4 linked regions of the Schizosaccharomyces pombe genome follow. The gene in region 2 interacts genetically with the main gene of each other region. Each region holds a gene or a part of one and is shown on either strand. Other genes may lie near its edges. The genes, in order: sin1, pdh1, SPOM_SPBC1348.10C and mak1.

Region 1 (5,099 bases), on a different chromosome or scaffold from region 2:
CCATCTATTACAGTTGATTTCTCTGCTGATAAAGAGACTGATGAAAAGCGTGAAAGGAATTGCGACAAGCAAGTCAAAGCTGCTCAAAACATTCTTCCCGAATGGCATGCAACATCAACAATTTCTGGCTCCATTACTCGTGCTGGAGCTAAAGATGCCGCACTTCATAGTTTTAGAACTGAAACTGTTAATGAGGTTCAAGACACTAAAACAGATATTACTTCTGAAAAGAGCGCCTTAGATGCTTATTACGCAACACTTCGTGCAAAGCAAAAAGAGGAAAGCGAGTTTATGGACAGTGAAAACGTAGATGATGAGGAGGATGATGACTTCTTAGACGTTACGACGGCTACCTCTCTTCAAAACAAAAGTACTGATTATGGGTCGGTCAAGCGTAAAACCGAGAACCTAAATTCAGATAGTGATATCCAAAATAAAAGAACAAAATCGATAGAAGAAAACAATTCATTACCACCTATTGTTTCTACAAATGGTATTACTGATGGTGATACGGAAATGCAAGAAAGTAAAAAGAATGTTATTATTAATGGATTTAATGAGGACGATGAAGACGATGAAGATGAAGCTGATTTTGAAGATGTTTAATAAAAATGACATAGGGGAGAGAGCAATGTGATACCAAAAAACAAAGGTGTTTATACCTATGTATTCATAGAATCTTTTTGTAATAAATAAATGTTAATTTATTTTTTTAACAGTATTCATCAGTGCACGTATCCTGCTAACTATAATGGCAGCTTCCAAGGCGGACAAAACTTCAAAATCATACCTGAACTCGTTAGCTTATTAGCGTTAAAAAATTTCTTACCGCTTAGTTTCCCTATTCTTGGACACAATCATTTTAAAATTACATGGTGATTTTTTAGACTGCTTGCATAAAATAATCGATCCAGCATGTATACTGGACGTCTTAGGCGTTTCAAATATATTTTTGGATTCAGACGGCATTATGTGAACGTATTCTCCATCAATAGCTAGTAGACGCTCATGTCTTCCCATAAATGAAACAGGTTGTCGTTTCCATACAAGAAATTCTTGATAGGTATTGCTCGACATAATATCTGTTGCATTGTATGTTGAAGATTGTGCATCTTTCTTAATAGATCCATAAACGGAATTTTGTGGTGAGGAGGTTGGCAATTGTTGGGTACTTCCTTTTTTATCGCGTACCTTCTTTTTAACAAGTTCTAGAGTTGGATTTCCGTCTAGTGAACTAAATGTTTTATCAAGTGGTAAAACAGTATCAGATCCAGCAACTCGCAGAGTATACTTAAATCGCTCCAATTGCTTCATCCAACACACCTGGTTCAACACCATAGCCAATCTAGTAGTTTTTGATATTTCAATATTGCAAAATCGAGCATTATCCCCGTATGGGGGAAGTCGTACCTGTACGACATGAGAAGTATTAAGTGTATCTTTGACATCCTGAGCTTGCTTTTGTGATTGACTTGAAGTTGAACTAGTATGCCGAATATGCGTTTTGTTATTGGCTTCAGGAATTGATGTTGGATGCTTCGATTTAAACGGGTAGGCAGCTTGATTTTCCTTTATTTGGGCAGGAGTGGCTTTAACTAAAGCAAATGCGTCAAAACCAAATTTTGATAATGGACCTACACGGTCCAAAGCGGGAAAATCTTCATCTAGCTCCCCGTCATCTTCAACAATACGTAAATTCCAATAATTCGGATTTTGAGCCTCATCTTCTATTGGGGGCACGAGTTGCTGGTTAACGTATTGAAGTAAAATATAACCGATAGCCTCAGAGACCAAAACATTCTTTCGGAGTTCTACAAATAAGGGCTTTGAAGGACTTTCGCTCGAAGGAAAATAAATGTTTAAACGGAGGGCATTTGATTCTGCATGTCCAGAAAAAGTAGCAAAATTTTCAGCCAATGGCCCATTCTGGCTACTGTTTTCTTTATGTTCAAGTAATGCACGAAGAGCAGATGTAGGAGCCTTTGCGTTCGAAACAGATCTTGCTTTATTGACTGTATTGTGTGTTCCGCGTTGCTTACCAGGAAAAAGAGCATCAACCGCAACAACTGCATCAGCTTCAGTGTCAGTTAAGGAAGAATTCATTGGAAAAGTAAGAGGAATTTCTCCTTGACTTAAATGAAATGATTCCTCAGAAATCGACCGTAGATCATCATAATCCGTAGAAACACTGCTTTGCTGGTTTATGGAAGACTGTTTGGACGAGGTTAAATTCACTGCCTGCGAGGATTCTACCATGTTGGTAAGCTTAAGATTTGCGATAGCATCAATATTATTTAATGTGGAAATTTTGGGGTCCAGTCTTTCCTCTTCTTTTATACTTGCAACATCCTTCTGCATTGGGACTTTGCTAAAAGAAAATATACACGAGTTATCGTCATCACCCACATCTGAAGATTCGGATAAGTCAGAAGTAGCATAATCAGAATCTTCAGCTCGAGAATGATTAACTTGACCCCCAGCACCATTTACTTGTTTAGTATCACTCGGCTTTCGGACATTGGATACAGTGTCATTAGCGACAATCGGGGGACTTGAAGAAAACGAAGTTTTAGAATAATCATAATCATGAATCAACAAGTCTTGCAATGATTTGTCCAATTCCCATTCCGGGGCCTCAGTAGATATAACTCGATTTTCGATTGAGTCAGGAAGTATATGAGAATATTGCATTCGCAAAAATGTTAACAAAAGACTGTAAAATAAACGTATTAGTTTGTATAAGTTTCATAGGAAAAAAAATAGTATCCTTACACTTTCTCTCTTGTTAATTCCATTCTGAGTCCTTATTATATCGCATTTACAGACTTTATAAAATATTTAATTTCAACGAAGTTTGAATACTTAGCGACCATACTTTTTATGGCACCTTAATATAGAAAATTTGTAAACTCAATTATGTGAAACGTTGGTGACGGACGCCGCGTGCTTTATTTCAGTTGCTATGTATCCCCCGCTAAGCATTTAATTAAGTGTTGGGGGTAACACCGTAAAGTACCACCAAATTTCAAAAGACAGCAAAATATGAACGAAACTATTAATTCAAACAGTTATTAACTGAAGTACAAAAACGCTAGACAATGAAAAAAAGTGATCTCATATACGTTTTAGATATTGCGAAACAGCTAAAAATGGTATTTGAACTATATAGCAATTACGGTATTAATTATTTACAGAATAATGTAATTAAATTATTGTGGAATTTTTATTTTTTGAAGTTTCTCAAATGGCAAGCTTACGACTTAATAAATTCACTCGACAACGCCAAGCTAGAGTATTTTAAGGAATTTGATTTATTTACAAAGCCAAGATAAACGTTTTGAGACAACTTATTTTGACAACGTTTCTTCGGATCAAGGGAAACTTTCAAAAATGAAGTATTTTGCAACTGAAGTATAAATATACATGGGGAGTAGTAAGTAATTGCTATCCGATTTTTAACAGCTTATATAAAACGAGCTCATTTCAACCGAATCTAGCTTCTCGATGGTAGATAAAATGAACATTATGTATTATGCGAGGGAAACAACAAAACCAATGAAAAATGCAAGACGATATAGATAAAGGAGAAGATAAAGACCAAATGTGATTTAAATAGAAAAAGTGAGGTCGAAGCAAATGGTCAATTTAAAAACTCAGCGAAAGAAATGATTTGGTCCAATTTTTGTGAACCATTGAACATTGCCCCAAATGCTGACGAAGTGTAGACATCCACTCATCTTTTTCGCCGACGGTTTCAGCGTAAAAATCGATGTAGTCCCCATTACTGAAAATGATACGGAAACCCGATTCGAAATACAGATACCCTTCTAGTTCTTCTTCATCACTATAATGGTTGTCATCCACGATATGTGTGGCTTCAGACAAATCAATCGTTGCTCTGCGAACTTTAGAGAATTGTTGAAAAGCTACTAACTTTGATCCTATTAATTGAAAATAGCGACGACGCCAATAAGGGCAATCCCCACCTTGTTGACATAGATAACCATCACACAATAAAGTTCTATCCCATTCAGCAAGCTTTAAGTCATACATGGCAGACTCGATTGAAGCGGGAAGTTCTTTCAGAGAGACAGGAAGCGCTGGTAAGAAAAATACGTGGATTTCGAGTTCTCCTACTTTTCGAGGGAGAGGCTTGACATCTTTAGCTGCCGGATCAACAGTCCATTTGTTCATGATTGGTAGAACCATAGATTGACAACGGCCTAGTGCGGTTCGGCTTACAGAATCAGTGTTAATGGTAACTTCGCCGAAAGTTCCATCTTCAGAAACAAATCCATGAAGTGCTTCTGAAACGGGGTCGGTAGTCATAGACTTTCTCTTATTTGTTGAAAATACTTTTCCAAGTGTAGAACGAGTGCGAACCTTAGGTGGATCGTAAGCCGCACGGAGCGTACATACAATTGAAGAACTAATACTTTCATCAAAAGTATACTCATTTTCAATTTTAGTAGTAGAGTGTAAGGCGTTCCATGGTACTTGAATGTGCTTACCAGAGATTGTATAAGTGAACCTAGTGGTCATCCCCGATGCCAAAGGAATAGTTAAGTTTCTGATTTCCATAAGACGGACAAACAATCTTCCACTCCCGCCGGTTTGTTGCAAACTACTGGACAAATTTCGCGATAACGATTCTGGCATATAACAAGAATTGACAACGCGCCGCGAAGTTTGCATTTCTTGTTTCTGACTAGTGGCATGTACAACTTTAGAATTCTGTCGTAGCAAATATGTCCTAGTCAAAGCGTCAAAGGCTGAAAGAACATTTGTAAAGCGAGGATCTGGTAAAGAAACCACTTTTGGAAGAAGCGGTATCGGAGCATTTTCGTCAAGAACATGAGGGGAATCTAAAGAGGTGATGGAGCTCGTAAGTGGCTCTTCGTATTCATGAATAGAATCTGAACGGTAGATATCAGTCCTACAATTCTCTCGGTTCTCATCTGCGAATGATAAGCGAGGAGGTGTCTTTATATCTTGGAACGAGGACGAATCTTCAGAGAAACCAAAAGATGCAATACTGTTTATACCTTCGCCAAGACCAACCATGTCACTAACACTGCTAACTATACTGTTCGTAAAAC
Region 2 (4,107 bases):
AATTTTTTTAGTCATTATGTGTACGTATGCTAACTGTGCTATCGTAACAGATTGGTTTTGAATACAATAAAATCAGAAACAAGAAAATCTTTGGCCGAGGAATGGTTCATGAATATACTTTTAAAAATCGAAGCTCCTCTGAGAAATTTGCCTGTACCAAGGAAAAGAAAAGAGTCAATACTGTTCTCTCAATTACTTTCTTCGAATGTAAGTTATTAAGTCTTGATACGCATACATACGAAAGAGATATGACTAACATTTTTAGATGCAATTGGAACAGCAATTATACAGTGATTTGGACCATATTAACGTACTTCAACAGGAATTGAAGGTTGAAACTGCTCGTTTGGAGAATGAACAGAAATCTTACGAAGAAATGAAACAAAACATGGCCATAAATAATTCACGGCTTGCCGATTTAAAATCTAAAGTAAGTTTAAAACACGAACAGGCGAATGTTTTATTCAAGACTTCATCTTAACATATGACACAAAATGAGTTTTCCATTGTTTCAGTTATGTAAATAATCAAGCAATCACTAATATTTTCTTAGCTTCACCCTTATTTGAAGAAAGGCTTAAAGATATCCCATGATAATTTTTCAGACTCCAACGATTTCTCGTTCCAAAAGAAACTGAATACAGAAGATTCTAATACTTCTAAAACCTCTACATTGGATATGTATAAAGAAAAATTAAAGCCATTTACGAAAACTATGCAAATCCATGCAAATAAAACTGTTCAATTAAGTCAAACTATACAAAAAGCTACTCTTCTTTTACAACGACTAAACAATACAAAAAATATAGGCCTAAATAAGTCATCCAAACTTAAGATAAAGAATATCTAGACATAGAAAAGCTAGAGCTTAAGACTTGATGACTTCTACATGTTAACATATAGTCCCTGGCCCCGAACCATGACCAACCCAAAAACTGGATTAAATCGTCCTTTAATATAAGCACTCAGACTAATTGTCCCGTCTTCATTGAATTCTCACAAATAGTGTGACGACAAGCCAACTTAATGGAGTGCTTGGTAGATTCCAGCAGCTACGGACTTAATTCAATTAAAGGACTTTTTGCTAGAGTTTAGGGTAGGGTAAGCATAAAATTATAGTAGCATTATAGTATCGATTTTGAAAGTAATTTCTTTTGCTTTATTTAATCATTAAAAGATGCCGTAAAGGATTTTGTGCCTTGCGGAATTGTCAAGAATTGTAGTATTACTCGTAAACGGTCGTGATTGTTATTTAACAGTAGTAACTGCCAAAAAAGACTTAGTTTTTTATTTTTAATAAAAGCCTTCAATATTATTTAATAAATAGACGCAAAATCATAAGCAAACTGATTTTAAATTCATTTGCGCATGCAGTCAATAATTATAAAAGCAAAGCAATACACGGGTCTTAGATAGCTAGTCAAAACAATAGCAATGCGTAAAAAAGTATTGATTTTGATTAAAACGGAAAGTTCATATAGGAAGCTGAGTATGACTTTCTAAATGGAAAAGTTCTTGAACCACAGGATGAACAAACAACACATATAGCTCAGAGATGCAAGTGCCTGAGACAGCTAAGCAGAAATAAGTCCATGGAAAACTTTGAAAAACATAAAATAAGTGAATTGAAAGGAACAAATAAATAAGGTATTTTGACAATGGACAGAGAAATTTGTTTGAAGATTCTTCCTTTTTACACGAATACAATTGGTACCAAGCAGTTAAGATCCCTGCTTGAATTGCGGTCGTACTTTGGATAATTGCGACCAACAAGTAATGTGAATCTGTAATTTTGTATGCAATAAAGCAAGGTATCAAGACAGCAATGTTTGGAATCACTGTTAAAAACTGACAGAAAAGCAAGTACTCCTTATGACCCCATGAACGTTCAATTTCAACGCCATACACCGAGAGAATGAGAATACTTGAAAGTAGCGTAAAAACATTAGCATCAACAAAACTTGTGGTAATTATTGTCCATGGAAACAAGAACAAAGCATTTGGAACCAAATGAAAACATAAAAGAAAGAAAGTTACAATAGAACTCCTACCAAACACTTTGATGTAGATGCTGATTCCAAATGATATTGCAGAAAACAATACCTCTAGGATAAGAAGCCTTTTCGTAACCGAAAACTTGGAGAAATGATTCATTGATAAATTTTAGGTAAAAAAAAATAGTAAAGTTCTCGTTACCGTAAAAATCATCGACGTCAACAATTTTGGTCTCAAAGTAAACAATACCAGGATACCTCTAAGTAAATGGTGCAATCCGAAATAAAATTTCTAGCTGTTTGCATCTAAAAAATAGAAACTCTTACGAAAACTGAATTGGCCAAAGATCGCTTCACTGGAATATAAGCATAATAAGAAATTGCCTATATGGATTAATACAGTTAGTAAATTAGAAAATGAGAAGTTGAGATAAGACACTGCACCTGGTTTTTTAATGCCTTCTCAATAATCTCATTTACAGGGACATTCGGTAGCGGGTAAGATGATAGGTAGGTCATGGCTCGACCAGATTATAAACATCCAGAAAATTACATAACTTTGTAGCTTGCCGATTCTAATAGAAGATAGAAAAGAAGTTTAAACTCGCTGATATATTTGTTTGAGCACAACCTGGTTTATCAAGTAACTATGATCGGTTCGGTTGAGGAGATAAACGCATTCAAAGTTAGAGTAAATAGTAAAGGGAGAAATTAATTTTTATTATATTTGGCAGTTTTTTGAGGGAAACCCTGATGAGAAATTGCTGCATATCGCTCTGCTGGGTTAAAACAAAGTGTTGATTCTCTTAATCGAATAATGTCTTAAATTATTAGTCATAATTCAAATCATCTTTTCCTTTCTTAGAATATAGTGAATGCATTGTTTAGAGCGGTCTTATATCAGAAAGAAGCATTCGCTTGACCTTGAAACATTTGTAATAGAAAATCACATTTCCTTAGCATGATAAGCGGACCCTGAATGTTCAAATTATTCAAATAAAATAGCAGTATATTTTAGAAATAAAAAAACCAAATAAGGCTCCTACCACTCTTGTATGGAATGTTGAGTACAGAAATAGCATACGAATTCATGAAAGTCAGAAAATACAATCTGGCTGCCAACTCCTTAACACAAACTTCTAAAAGTGAATTTTGATTGAAATTAAAAGTCGAAGAGAACTATTAGCATTGCCGTTTTAAGTTGTTAAGAGACCGACTTCAAAGAGGGAAAACTTTACTGAAATTCCTCGGATACAAAAAGTGGGCACTCGATTATTTTTATTTTGATCAAGCGCTGTTTAAATAGTAACCTACGTGCAAATAATAGAGCAGGAAGATTTAATCCACAGTTTCAGCCATCGCACGTATCTAGTTAAATTTCGGTAACTAATACTTCCACAACTACTAAAAACCGTCTCAATGGGAATTCGTCGACAATCCTTCAAGTTAAATCCGTATTGACAGGAAAAGAAAGAAAATAGAAGACTGTTGAGGTTTTAAGTGAAACTCGTTGACAGACCTTAAGATTTGACTTTAATTTACGTGGGTAGCTTGAACCATTATAGATTTAGAAATTGTGGAGGAAATGGATACGAATCAAGTTAATTATATAATCTGGAGATATTTGAAAGAATGCGGTATGTTAAATAGTTGGTTTTTGTGAATCATAGTCGCTTCATCTCTCCTTTTTTTCGGTTTCGTTAACATTATCGTGTTTTTTGTTGTAGGTTATTCGCATACTAAATTTGCATTTGAAAGGGAAACAGGCATCCAAAATTTAGACAAACAATGGGGAAGTACTTGCCAGGTTGGCGCTTTAGTCGAAATTCTGCAGAAGGGTTTACAGTACGTGGAGCTCGAAAAGCACTACGTTGATAATCACTCCTCAAACGAAGAAGCTAGCAAAACATCTATAGATGGAGAAAGTCTTGTAAATGAAAATCCTTGTAAACTCCCTTTCTATCTCACCGTACCTCATATATGCGAAACGACACTGACGAAAGCTGACTCTACCAATGGGTTTTGCGAACACAATAATTCTAATGATCACCAACTTAAAATTTTACAAGATAAGGGGTCTGGGTCGCCTTCATCTCCGGTCATGCCATTTAAG
Region 3 (4,609 bases), on a different chromosome or scaffold from region 2:
GCTACATTTTTAGCAACACACCGAAAACAAATGGGTCTTTAAACGATTTCGTTCTACCAATTGAATATTCCTCTTTTACTGTTTTTTGTACCAAACTGTTGATAAATCTTTCAGCATTTATTTAGTTTCCTTCCTTTAGGAAGTTTCAAAATACAGTAAAATATTTAGTAGTGACTCCTCATATATTGAATTAACAAGTCTCTGTCTTACTTTTAAATGTTTGTAGTCAATTTTATTATTATCTATTTTTTAAAAAACCGGGAGCTTTTAAAACAATCTATCATTTAATGTTCATCATTAGCACAACGATCTTGGACTATTTTTCATTCAACTTGTGATTCCCAATTGTACGTATATATCAATTTAAAGCAATGTTGTATTTAATCGTTTTCATGCTTACATTCTTTCGTTTCGTGTCTTTACGTGAATGCACATCGATCTCAGATTGAGCCAACTAAGCCTGTTCATCCATTCGACCGGTTGCATTTATCTAAAAAAGTTTAGAGATAACAAATTATTCATTTACCCGTTTACATAGCTCCATCAAACGTAAAGGGTTTAACTGAGCAGTCTCACGAATGAGGAAAATCCTTAGTTCTCTTTCATAACGAATTCGTAACCAAGTACAATAAAGGTAAATCTATCTATTCTAAATTTCTCACATGCCTGAGAATCCATTGAAACAACATCAATGGAATCTTTTTACGGATTTTCTTTCGCTTCGAAAATCGAGTCCCACCAATGTTTATGAGTGGGAGTGGCTGATGCTACCTAGAACAAAAGTTAGCGATGAAAAAAAAAATAGTTTAATCAACGTGAATTTTTGAGAACATACAGATGAAGATGTTGTACTAGAGGCTGTACCCGAGGTTGTGCCTGACGGTGCACGAGATGTTGTCGCAGCAGACATTACGGTAGGATCATATACAGAAGCCGTACTAGTTGCAAGAGTTCCGTCCCAACAGTATTCTTGGAAACAAGAAGAGCACTGGGTAGGAGTACTCAATTTCTTGCGTTCCAAAGAGCGTTGAATTATAGCGCATGCTAAGCAAACTGCAAAAGATTCATTATTGTTTTGCGTAGTCGACATAAATGCATTCTCAAGAATTCCATTAGCCATCTTGTCGTCCATGCTCATAGTAAATGTCGATATATTGGAATAATAAGTCCAAGGGTAATTTGGAAAGTATACAAGGAGAGGTGGGGTATTATTGTCTACATCATGATTTCCTGCTGTAGTATTTTTACCGTCACATCCAAAAAACGTAGGACGAGTGTTTAGTCCCAAAGAGATAATAGTGTTTTCGTCCGGAATATATGGAAATCCACGCACATCAACACTCTTGTTCGCATTAAAGGTTACAACTCTCTCATATGTAGCAACAATGGAAGATCCAAGGGGCCAACCATAAGGATCATTATAAGTCGAATCAATCGCAAATACAACGTCCACAAATCGTTGTGGGTGTAACAAAGGCCAAAGGGGAATGTTTTCCCTATCCTCACCACCATCAACTAGATCAATAGTATCATACGGTTCGAACGCATTCACTACAGAGGTATTGGAAGTAGTATAATTTTGGTAAGGATTGGGATAAGGAGCAATATCATCTTGATGCTTAGAAAGATCTTCAAGAATCGCATGAAGAATATCGTAATAGGTATCATTCTTTTTGACATTTTCATTCCAGTCAAGAAGAAAAGAGTTGAATAAAGTAGCTGAAGTGCCCATAACAAAACCTGCATTATCATAGTTATGAATGCAAGACTTATCGGGTGGAACCCCATCCAACAAGTGAGTTCCCACATATTCCATTGGAATGAATGCTTTAATTCCATTGTCCCATGTACCAAATTCATACGCCGTGAACTCAAAGATACTGGTATTGGCAGGGATGGCCGTTTCTTCTTCTAATCGGCTATCCGCAACGATGATGGGATAAGGATAATCAGCATTTTGAAACCAGCTTTGATTTCTCATACTGGAATATGTAATGCCTGGTCCTCCCCTTTCAGCATCAACAAGTTTACGGGACAAAGCACGTCCCCATAAATCCGTCAAAGAACAGTCAAAGCCCGCATGTTTCTTTTGATCAATTTCTTTGCGCAAGTCATTATAATAATTCAAATTTTCAATGACATTATCCCCATGAGGAGCAAAAACGCTATGTTCCAAATTCCAGACATTATCACGTAAGTATGTTATATTCGTAAAATTATTAATAGCCACTGATCCAACAAGCCATGAACCACCAGAAAGACCGCTGATATACATCGCGGATTGCAGCAGACCAGAAAGTGGAGAGTCACTCTCGAATCTTGAGTCAAAAGCATTGAATGCACCACCTCCATTAACCATCGCCCGTAACCCACCACCTGAGAATGCAATTCCTAAACGTGGACCATCCGAGCTGTTAACCACCTTATCCAAGTCAACATTCAAACCTGTCTTAGAAATAAATGATCGGAGTTCACTGTTAACCTTAGAAATACGTTTGTTGATATAGCTCTGTTCGCCCTCATTTAAACCTTCAGAAGCCGGCCTCAACAGATTGTCGTTTGAACAGGTCACATTGAAAGGGGCATACGAAGCGTCGGTACTTCGTTTTACGAGCGCAGGTTTCCTTTTAGACAAAGTGTAAAGTACGGATGTATCAATATCTTGTCCTTTATACGAACTAGATTCTTCAAAATCATATATTTCAGAAATCTCCACACGACCGGGAGGATAAGCTAACGTCAACGAAATTTGAACGAAAGCAAAGAGTCCAATATAGTTGACATACATTGCAGAAAATAAAAAAAGTTCAAACAAAAGCTGTAAAAATTGAAGTTCGCATGGAAAAGTGTACTACACGGAAGAATATTAAATCATATATTACTCTGGCGCACTACACATCTCTGATCCGGAAGAAAGAATTCCGAACTTTAAAAGCCCCAAAATTTGTCGCGTTATCTCAAGATCTGTCTACAAAAGTGATCTTAAATACGAAACAATGCTTGCTGCAAAATTCGCAAACGTTAGGCGGATACAATTTAGTACGGCAAGCTTTTACTTTATGATCAATGTTACCTTAAATTTCTATTGAGTAACAAATGTTACAAGATATGTATGCGAACAATAATACCAGAAGCTGATCGCTCATCATCGAATGGAGTTAATTACTTCGCTTATACAAAATAGTTTGTTAGTATTACGATGCATAATCTGAAATGGGAGCGTGTAAGGGAATGATCTGATGATCACGTATTGATTATAAATATAAGTAGGAGGATGATAGTAGGGACATTCGATGTATGGTGAGAGGCAACGTAATCTAGTGTACTAGCGCGGATACACGAAAAAGAAAACGCCAATAAAATGCATAGCGAATTCATGATTCCACGTTTAACACATTGCATGCATTTCAACTAGCTTAAGTTATTTTGATCTTCATATACTAGGGAGAAATAAGTTTTGTATTTTCGAGTAGTCTTTGTTCATAAATCCTCGCTATTATCACAATTATTCGACTTTCATACATGTAAATATCTTTTCGCTTGACCTCGAGAAAACAAATTTGTTTGTTATTTTTTGCAACATTTGACATTATTTTATGATATGTCAATAGTAGTTTTAATTGCTCGAACGTACATTTGTACTTTTTGTCACACCTGCTTAAGTTGTACATCGCGGTAATTTCTTATTATTAAAGGCCATTAACCTGATTGTCTCTTTAGATCTCTCTTGAATTGTTTGTTTTACTGTATCTTTCCGAAACAGTACATAAGGTTGTAACTTTTCCACACTAATTTCCTAATCATCGTTATGCACAAAACATTTAGCTGAACAAAGTTTGATAGTTTTTGTATGGCAGCTTGTGATGCCTTTTTATTTGTTCTACTTTTTCTTCAAGTTGGAGATAAAAGAGCACTTTTTAGTGATCAATTATGCTTTAGGCTTATAGGTCGTATTTCATTTCCACGATCAATAATTACTTGCTCATTTACCCACATCAAATCTACATCGTGTGCATTGTATTTATATTCTCTACTCATGACTACCAACTATAAGCATTGAACAAGAATATGCTGTTTCTAATATTTGTCATTGTAGCCAACGTCGTTTTGGACTTGTTTCAAAATGATAGTGCTAATAATTGCATTTATATTTAATCATTTTTGGATTCATTTTTTTCTCATTTGCTTGATTAAAAAATTAACATTATTGTTGAATATTCTTTTACTGCTAATCGCCGTTTAGTATCGCTTTTATACTGCCGTTCTGCTTCTCGACATTATGCGACATAAACTTAACTTTTACAGAAATATTAATCTCACGAATTATCTACTCATACTATATTCCTATATTGGTATAAATCTTTTTTTTATCTAATTTTTGAATTTGTTAATCAGCAATTTGATCAACTTCTATTCATGAATATGTTGCCTACATGACGCTTTTCAATTGCACAGCAAAATTTAGATAACGTTTTAAATAAATTCACGTATTCTATAGCACGTTACCTAACGTTACCAAGCTGAGCAATAAACTTGAGATGTATTGTATTATCTCTTGCTTCTTTTTGTCTATGTTTATTTTTATCTGTCAAGCTTTCTTACATGTATG
Region 4 (8,117 bases), on a different chromosome or scaffold from region 2:
TCAGATACCAAACTGCGTAGCTTACATGTAGCTAGTGTAGTATTGCTGACATGTAAAATAGTAATACTATATAACGTAGTATAAGTATTGATGCATTATCTAATCGGTTGTAGGCAAAGCCAGTAATTGAACTAAATATACTTTGTACGACGAAAGGTATTGATACCAACCAAGAACTTGTTTTTTCTTTCTGGACTGGCTTATAGCATTCCCCTTGGAATTAGAATAAAAATCCTGTCTACACAGTGAACAAATATATGTAGTGATGCATAGTGAAGTGTAGCATAATTTACGCTTATGGTAAGGGAAAAAATTTGCTCCAGCAGTGACTTGAACACTGGGCCTCTTGCTTACTAGGCAAGCGCTCTACCACTGAGCTACAAGAGCTAATTACGAATTACCTAAAGTTTGCATTTAACAATGAGAATGTATCCTCGAATTGATTATTTGACTGCTTCCTATACTTTAATTTGGTTTGTATTTCAAAACTGATTGATTAGCACACAATACAATTTTTTTTTTAACTTGCCAATAAAATACACATTACATTAAACAAGGGGAATATGTGATATTTAATATTATTATACTGGTTCTGGGCGCTGGAAATATAAATGCATTAAAAAGTTAATAAAATAAAATATGAGATGCTTAGATAATTATTATTTTGGAAAATATTCAAAATAAGAAGTTGTCAATTTAAATAAATATAGGCACTAAATAAGCTTTTGATCAAAACAAAGAAAAAATATAAAGTAAAAATAAAAGCATTAAAACAGTGAGATCCTTTCTAAAAATACAAGCAAAAGTGAGTGAAGATTAAATATCAAATCATTTGTGTAACTTTGATTGGTTCGTATAATTAAGTATGCCAGATATGATTAAGGACAAGTGTTGCAAAGTAATAGGTTTGGCAAGGTAAGAATCAAAACCACTATCTTTGCAGCTTAAAACAACATGAGGTAAAGCATTCGCACTAAGTGCAACTATAGGAACTTTAGGGTAATCGTTTTCCAATTCGTATTTACGAATTTCATTACATGCCTGGTAACCATCCATAACAGGCATTTGTAAATCCATTAGAATAAGAGAGTAAAAATTAGGCTTTTCACGTTTCCATTCTTCAACACATTGCAAACCGTCCATGGTGACCTTGAATTTGACACCAATTCTTTCAAGGTAACGGCTTATAACCTTAATATTGATAATGTTGTCTTCCGCCAACAACACGCTAAAGCCAGACTTTGCCAGATTATATCGGAGTGTTTCAGCATCAGCCTTCTGCTCCATTGCAGCCTTTCGAGTCATATCATTAAGTGCACCGATTTTCCCCTTTTCCTCAGAATCAGAATAAAATAATGGAAAAAACTTGGATGGTTTCACAAGTTTTAAAACGTAATGGATGCTTTCCGAATTACAATCCTCGCTATCTGAAAAAATCTTAGATAATGATTCTTTTTGTCGAGTGGAAGTCACCAAAATAAATTTTGTATCCTTGTATAGACTACAAAGTTGCAGTGATTTGACAAATAAAACATATGCTTCTATGTCCGGAAGATTTAATATAATATGGGTGACCTTGGATTGCATAGGATTCTCTAGCAATTCTTCAAAGGCTTCATAGGTATTTCCATACCTTACGATATCTTTAAATGAGCTTATATCGATAATTGATTGAAGCATGTTGCCAATCGCTTCACTACTGTATTTAGTGTGTGATACAACAACGGCTAAAGCACTTTTATCCAACTTGATCCCAGAAGGTTTGTTTCTATAGAGTCTCCAAAATAGAACTGTGTATGGATCAGCAGATGCGCCGCATCGACAAAATTCCGATTCAGAAGCGAAAGGATTCACATATTTGTTGGATTGAACATTTTTGTCCGATTCAAGTTTACGTCGGTTGCTTTCTCTTCCGGGATCTGCTTTATTTACGGCCAATTTTACAAAATTCGTCGCGCTTTTATCGTTTCCATCGTCTGCGCAATAATAGTCTTCTGTGCTTTGTTTGCTTTTTTCGTATGGACAAAAACAGACTGGACAACAACCATCTGGGGGTTCAAATTTTAGAGGAGTTTTATCCATTGTAAACGTTGCAGTCCACATAAAGCGCGTTCCCACGCCTCTTCTACTTTGACAGGACATACTACCATTATGTAGCTCAACAAGCTCTTTTGAAATAACTAATCCAAGACCTGAGCCACCATGTCTTGGTAATGTAGAACTCTCTACTTGAGAAAACGGTTTAAACATTTGTAATTGATCATCTCTGTTAAACCCTTGACCGGTATCAATGCATTCCCACTTTAAAACAACAGTATTGGTTGAGTAATCAATCTTTTCAACGGAACAACGAGTAAAAACTTCACCAACATTCGTAAATTTAATAGCATTTCCGATCACATTCAAAGCAACTTGCCTCATTCTCATATTATCCCCAAATACTATATCAGGAACATCAATGTCAACCGTGTAGTTCAATTCTATTCCCTTTGAAAAAGCGAGGGTACCTAGAGTTTCGTTTGCATCTTCCATCATAGCTCGTACAGAAAAGCGTTGGCTAGTTAGCTTCATCATTCCAGCTCTGACTTTACTAAGGTCCAAAATATCATTGATAACAGTCAAAAGAGACTTAGCTGATTGCTGAATAATACGTGCATAACTCAGCTGTTCGGCAGACATTTGAGTTTCCAACAAGAAGCTTACCATGCCTGTAATACCGATAAGAGGGGTTCGAATTTCATGAGACATATTGGAAAGATACTGCATTTTGCTCCGAACAATTCTTTGAGCTTCAATGTTAGATTCTTGGAGCTTTTCTTCCAACATTTTATGATCGTGAATATCAGTACAAGTTCCTAACCAGAGATTAGTAGACGTATCAGCAGAATTATTTACGCAAACAGATTTCACCAAATGCCATCTATAATGACCATCGGTAGATCTAAAACGTATCTCCGCCGCAAACGTTTTGGTACCATTACTTTCGTCTTGGTTATTAAACGTTCCCTCCAAAGATTCAGGCAATAAACATTTCTTGCGATCAGCGTGATATACAGCAGATAAAAACCCAAGTCCCAATGAAGATTCCAGTGAAAGACCTGAATAACTTAACCACTGCGCATTTGCATAAATAATTCCATTTTTACCATTTGCGGCAAAAACAATTTGAGGAGAAGCTTCAGCTAAAGACCTGTAGCTGTTTTCATTTGCGGCTATAGCTGATTGTTTTTGTAGTTCTCGTTCTGCCAACTTTTGATCATGGACATCCGTCATTGTTCCAAAAAAATGTAGCACAGATCCAGTGCAATCCCGTAAAGGAACCGCGCGACAGATAAAGTATCGATAAACATTATCAAACCTTTGCAAACGAATTTCATGATAAAAACCACTACCAGAGAATAATGAAGATTTCCAGTCATTTAAAAAGTTTGGCAGATCATCAGGATGAATTCGACTAAATTGTAGCTCTATTTGCTCATTCATATTTAAACCACAGTAAAGAAGAGTTTTTCTATTAACCCATGTGAGTTTTCCACTTCCCGGATCCGCAGTAAACACATGAACCGGTATAGAATCAATTATAACCTTTAGTAAGGGAAAAGGAGGCGCTTGACCACCACAATGCCCTTGCACATACTTGTGAGATTCAGAAGTGCAACAGGCATATGATTTTGATTTATCTAAAACAATTTCATCCTTCTTTAGAGTAATAGTTTCATTTGAATAATTTTCACCATCATTTAGCGAGAATCTCAAATTCTCGTTCACTTTAGAATTCTTTTTGCTAATTCGAGACTTCAATCTAGCTAGCAAACGATGCTTCTTTAAAGTAACCCATGATCGCTGGTTTTTTTTAAAAAATTCAGAAGGAACTGGTACAAACCTAGGCAATTTAGGTATGTTATTAAGAGAAGATCCTTTAGCATTGATATTGCAAAAGCTGCCTACGCACTCTCCTTCTTTATGAGGACAATCAGAGTTTTCGGAGCTCGCGCTCATACTCAACTCCTTGGTATTGTCAGTGCTAGACGTGTTAAATAATAGATGCCTTTGTGTAGGACAAGGAAGTAACGGAACAGATTGAGAATTTGAGTATGAAGAAAAAATAAAGGGTATCAAACGTTCTATGGAGGCTATTAAATTTTCCGGATAAGGAACTAAATTGGACTTGAAAGAAAGAATTGCAATTGGAGCTCTCCCACGGCTTGAAGTTTGATCCGAACAAGGAAACATCAGAGGAACATGTACAATACTGACAGCAGTTTCAGTAGGAAAACTGGTGAAGTCGTTCAAATGATCTTCTTGACGCCTGTTACCAGAAAAATTCATACCTTTACAATCATCATTAACAGCTGTTTCTGATACGGACTCTGAAGCAGACTTCTCTGTTGACGATTCAGTAGCGAAAGAAGATTCTTGCAAGCAATTTTGGAAGAATGGATTCCTATTAGGATCTGTTTGAATGGAGGGACTAGCAACTGGAGATCTTGACCAAGGAGAAAGTAAATTTTGTTCATACTCATCATAAATGTTTGAAGGTTCTTCCGAAAAAGACGAACTTTGTGCTTTTGAAATGTCACTTTGGGAATACGGTTTACGATTCTGACTGAAATGTGAAACAAATGCTCTCTTTTTCTGTGGATAAAGTCCATTTAACTGAGCTGCAGAAGCACTAATTTCAACCTGCTTTTTCAATTCATTAAGTTTTTCATCATGAAAAACTTTCCATGAATTCTTAATGCTGCGAATATCATCAACATTAGGTATAGAACTAAAGTAATCATTATCATGAACCTTGGTGTTTTTAACAATGTGCTGTTGTTTACGTGTATATACAAGCAATGTCGCACGCTCCAAGACTGTTTGTACAACTTTGCTATCAATAAGCAAATCCCCTTCATGTTTAAGAGAAGCTGGATCTTTGTATATAATACCCTTTGAACCATCCGAAGCAACTACGGTAACATAAGAACTGCTAGCAAGGTTGTCATTAACACTTATAGGGTTACTATACGGATCATAATGGGAACCGCCATCGTAATAACATCTGAGTTGCCAAGGAGTATTGTATATGTCAGAAAGGTCACGCGGTTCTACAACAGATATTTGAGTGGAAAAAAACTGCTGAGCGAAAAAGTCAATAATGTTTTTCCAGAAATTCATCAAACCGGTTTTAAAGACCAATAAGCAAGCCATTTCATACACATTTCCAATGGTACGGTTACGCTTCTCCTGTAACTGCTTAAATAAGTTAGCGGATGAATCTGTTTCAAATGGTTGCTCATCAGTTAGTGAGTGCGAAGCAGAAGTATTATCGTTGTTCAAAGCATTTCCACAAGAAGAAACGGATGGAGCAGGTGAATGGCATAATGAATTTAGTGATTCCCTAGATTTTTGAGGAGAATAGCAATCTGAACTCATTGAGGAGGTTTTAAATAACTCATTGGGACGTTTGGATGTCATCAATCGATTTGGATTTACTCGGGGAAAATTAATAAGTCGCTCATCCTCTAGTGAAGGAGAAGATACATTATTGAAAGAAAATGAATTTCGATGCTGCCTATTTAAACTGGTGGGAGATTCAAGTATCGGAGAATGAACAGAGCCAACAGAAGAGTTTTGAGAATTAGTAAACGATCCTACAATTTTTGATGATTTTTGCAGCTGGTGGTCCATGGCCTTATTCAAACGTTAGTAATTTAAATTAATTAAGTAACAAGAGATATCACATTTTATTTCATATTTAAAAAAGGAGAATCCAAGTATTGAAATCACTTACCTCTTTCAACTTTTCCAAGTGAGAATTAGAACCAACGTTATTGTTGATTTGATCGTCAGGTGGCCTCATTTTTTTAGACTAAATTTACAGGCCAGTATAGATACTAAATAAAACAAAGTTTCCAACTGTAATTACCAAAAAGAAAGTGCTATCTTATAAAGATCGTTTCAAATAAAAAACTGATGTATTTGAGTTATTTGACCACGGCAACCAGCAATGGAAATTATAAGCGTACCATTTAAAACGCTTTTTTCCTAGCGACTTTACAGCACTGAAGATTGGTAAAAAGTGTTCGAAATAGGGAAATGAAACAACTCAACAAGTTGTGTTAGCAAAATGTAAATGGATATTGAAGATCGCGTAAATGTTGTTTAGCGAAGATTGGTGGCTAGTAAATATGATCGTTCTGTTAGAAACAAGTCACTACACTATACTGTGCTGCGTTAGTTCAACTTTTCATAATATTCATGATTCTCCGTATTTCCATCCTTAGTGTAAATCTTCTATACTAGTAGTTTTATAACAATGCATTATGTTGATACATTCAAACCTTCTTTCCTGACTTCAGTTATAAGCCATATATGTGTGGTTATGTTAGTGTATTCAATATCATAATTATATTGATACAACATTTTACCATCTACGATAAACATCCTACATAAGATTATATACATCGCAAGTAACACTTAAACTACAGTTCGTTGTAGCTTAAAAAAGGTAATGATTGCTTAGCCAATAGTCAATCCTTGCTAAAGAATAGTAGTCTCAGATTACTAAATTCGCTGATTATATTATAACGGTAAATTTTTATTGAATTGTTATTACATCATCATTTGAGATGTTACACATTTGCTGAATAAGCATATAAACAATGCATTGCTGCGTAGCTGTTTTCTTTTATATTATAATGCTGCAGCAATATAAAAGAAGCTGCATAAATAATTAGTCAGAAAATTAGTTTATTCAGAAAGCAGCTAGACGAGATGCAATATTTCATGATTAAATGTGAGCTCAACAACTCTAAAGAAATTAATTAAACATATATAATCCTTCGCAAAGCAGAGTAAAAAAGTGTAGCTTTTAAGTGCCCCCTTGAATTTTCTTAATTACTGTTCCATTTTGAGGTCGCTCTTTGGAAATTAAAGCTTTAATCAATTTTCGTTGAACATTTACTAGAGCAGCCAGTGAGGAATCCAAAGTACTCAGTTTTTGTAAAAAATTGTTTCTCTCGTTATTTATCGAAAAATTTTTATCTTTCTGTTCTATTGTAAAACCCGGTTTGTCATTTAATGAGTTGTTTGCAGTAAGATTTGAATTTACTCTGTGGTTTTTAACAAGCTCAACATACCGCTCCTGAGCATCGCCCAATGCAGTCATAAGGTCTGACAATTGCTGTTTAGTGGATGATAAAACACCATCTCGTTGTTTAAGTTCAAGTTGTGCTTCAGCATACAAACGATTGATAGAATCAGAATCAAAGTTATGTCTGTGTATCGAAGCAACTGTGCTTTCGTCTCTGTCATTATTACTTTCCTGAATTGTTCTATTTCCTTGAATGATTTCTGCTTCCTTTAAGTTGGATTTTTCGGCGAGATTTGACAGTGTGAGGGAATGCTCGCCTGACCATACGTTAGAATGACAATTATTATAGTCTAAGTTATTGTTAATTCTGGCTCCACAAACGCAACGAGACAAAGCATCTTTATAAATATACAGCTGTCTTTTCATTTCATCAACAGAAAGTTCTGAGTTTACTACCGCTTTGTTTTTGATGCTCTTTGCACGATGTCCAAACCTAAGAGTAGATAAGGTCTCTGTTGCATTGTATGAATCTGGTGAACAGTTAATAATTAGAGTGGTCCGAGAATTTCCACCAAGAGACTCTTTTAAAATACGCGTTAACTTGGAATCTCTATAAGGAACATGTGATAATTTGCTGTCTGTGAGAGAATTAATAACCATTCCAAGAGTTGAAAGAGAACGGTTTATTTTCTTTGCTTCTTCTAAGGTTTGCCCGACTGCTCCACTTTTTCCTACGCTTTCGGAACCTGCCAAGTCAACTAAAAACAACCGGCCTCGTCGAGTTTCGCCGGACTCAGTGTCCGTTTGGACAACTTCGAGTACAAAAATAGAATGAGACCGTGAACTTTGCGCATTCATCGACGTACTTGCAACGGCACGTGACCCCATACCTTTATTTAAAATATCCAATGCCTCCGTTTCACTTGATACGTAAATCGTTTTTAAACCTTGAACATAAACTCCCTGAAGTTTATCTTCATGAACCGTCAGTCTGTCATTTTTTTCTGTAAATCATGGTTAATTTTGCTGAAATTAA

The links.
Region 1: mutations in pdh1 (region 2) and sin1 together harm fitness less than expected from each alone (positive genetic interaction), as found in Schizosaccharomyces pombe (one large-scale study listed by BioGRID).
Region 3: mutations in pdh1 (region 2) and SPOM_SPBC1348.10C together harm fitness less than expected from each alone (positive genetic interaction), as found in Schizosaccharomyces pombe (one large-scale study listed by BioGRID).
Region 4: mutations in pdh1 (region 2) and mak1 together harm fitness less than expected from each alone (positive genetic interaction), as found in Schizosaccharomyces pombe (one large-scale study listed by BioGRID).

The regions. Positions count from the first base shown.
Region 1 is NC_003424.3:4,745,494-4,750,592, forward strand, and holds sin1 (MAP kinase-interacting protein Sin1), read right to left. Parts: upstream 2,935-5,099; 5' UTR 2,796-2,934; coding exon 2,773-2,795; intron 2,730-2,772; exon of another isoform or gene 2,714-2,729; coding exon 830-2,713; exon of another isoform or gene 791-829; coding exon 700-790; 3' UTR 607-699; downstream 1-606. Other genes in the region: transcription factor TFIIE subunit Tfa1, read left to right, coding at 1-606; mid2 (septin ring organizing protein), read right to left, coding at 3,646-5,099. UniProt on the Schizosaccharomyces pombe protein: Component of the mechanistic target of rapamycin complex 2 (mTORC2), which regulates multiple cellular processes to control cell growth in response to environmental signals.
Region 2 is NC_003421.2:190,973-195,079, forward strand, and holds pdh1 (protein pdh1), read right to left. Parts: upstream 2,155-4,107; coding exon 1,474-2,154; 3' UTR 851-1,473; downstream 1-850. Other genes in the region: kinetochore protein fta7, read left to right, coding at 51-207, 266-430, 554-850; Set3 complex subunit Hif2, read left to right, coding at 3,580-3,631, 3,722-4,107.
Region 3 is NC_003423.3:25,585-30,193, forward strand, and holds SPOM_SPBC1348.10C (phospholipase), read right to left. Parts: upstream 2,789-4,609; coding exon 836-2,788; intron 772-835; coding exon 703-771; 3' UTR 571-702; downstream 1-570. Other genes in the region: SPOM_SPBC1348.09 (dehydrogenase), read left to right, coding at 1-42. UniProt on the Schizosaccharomyces pombe protein: Catalyzes the release of fatty acids from lysophospholipids.
Region 4 is NC_003424.3:4,707,701-4,715,817, reverse strand, and holds mak1 (phosphorelay sensor kinase Mak1), read right to left. Parts: upstream 6,110-8,117; 5' UTR 5,849-6,109; coding exon 5,780-5,848; exon of another isoform or gene 5,680-5,779; coding exon 829-5,679; 3' UTR 557-828; downstream 1-556. Other genes in the region: kinesin-like protein Klp3, read right to left, coding at 6,860-8,085. UniProt on the Schizosaccharomyces pombe protein: Involved in the control of the SAPK-dependent transcriptional response to peroxide stress. Also has a role in G2/M regulation.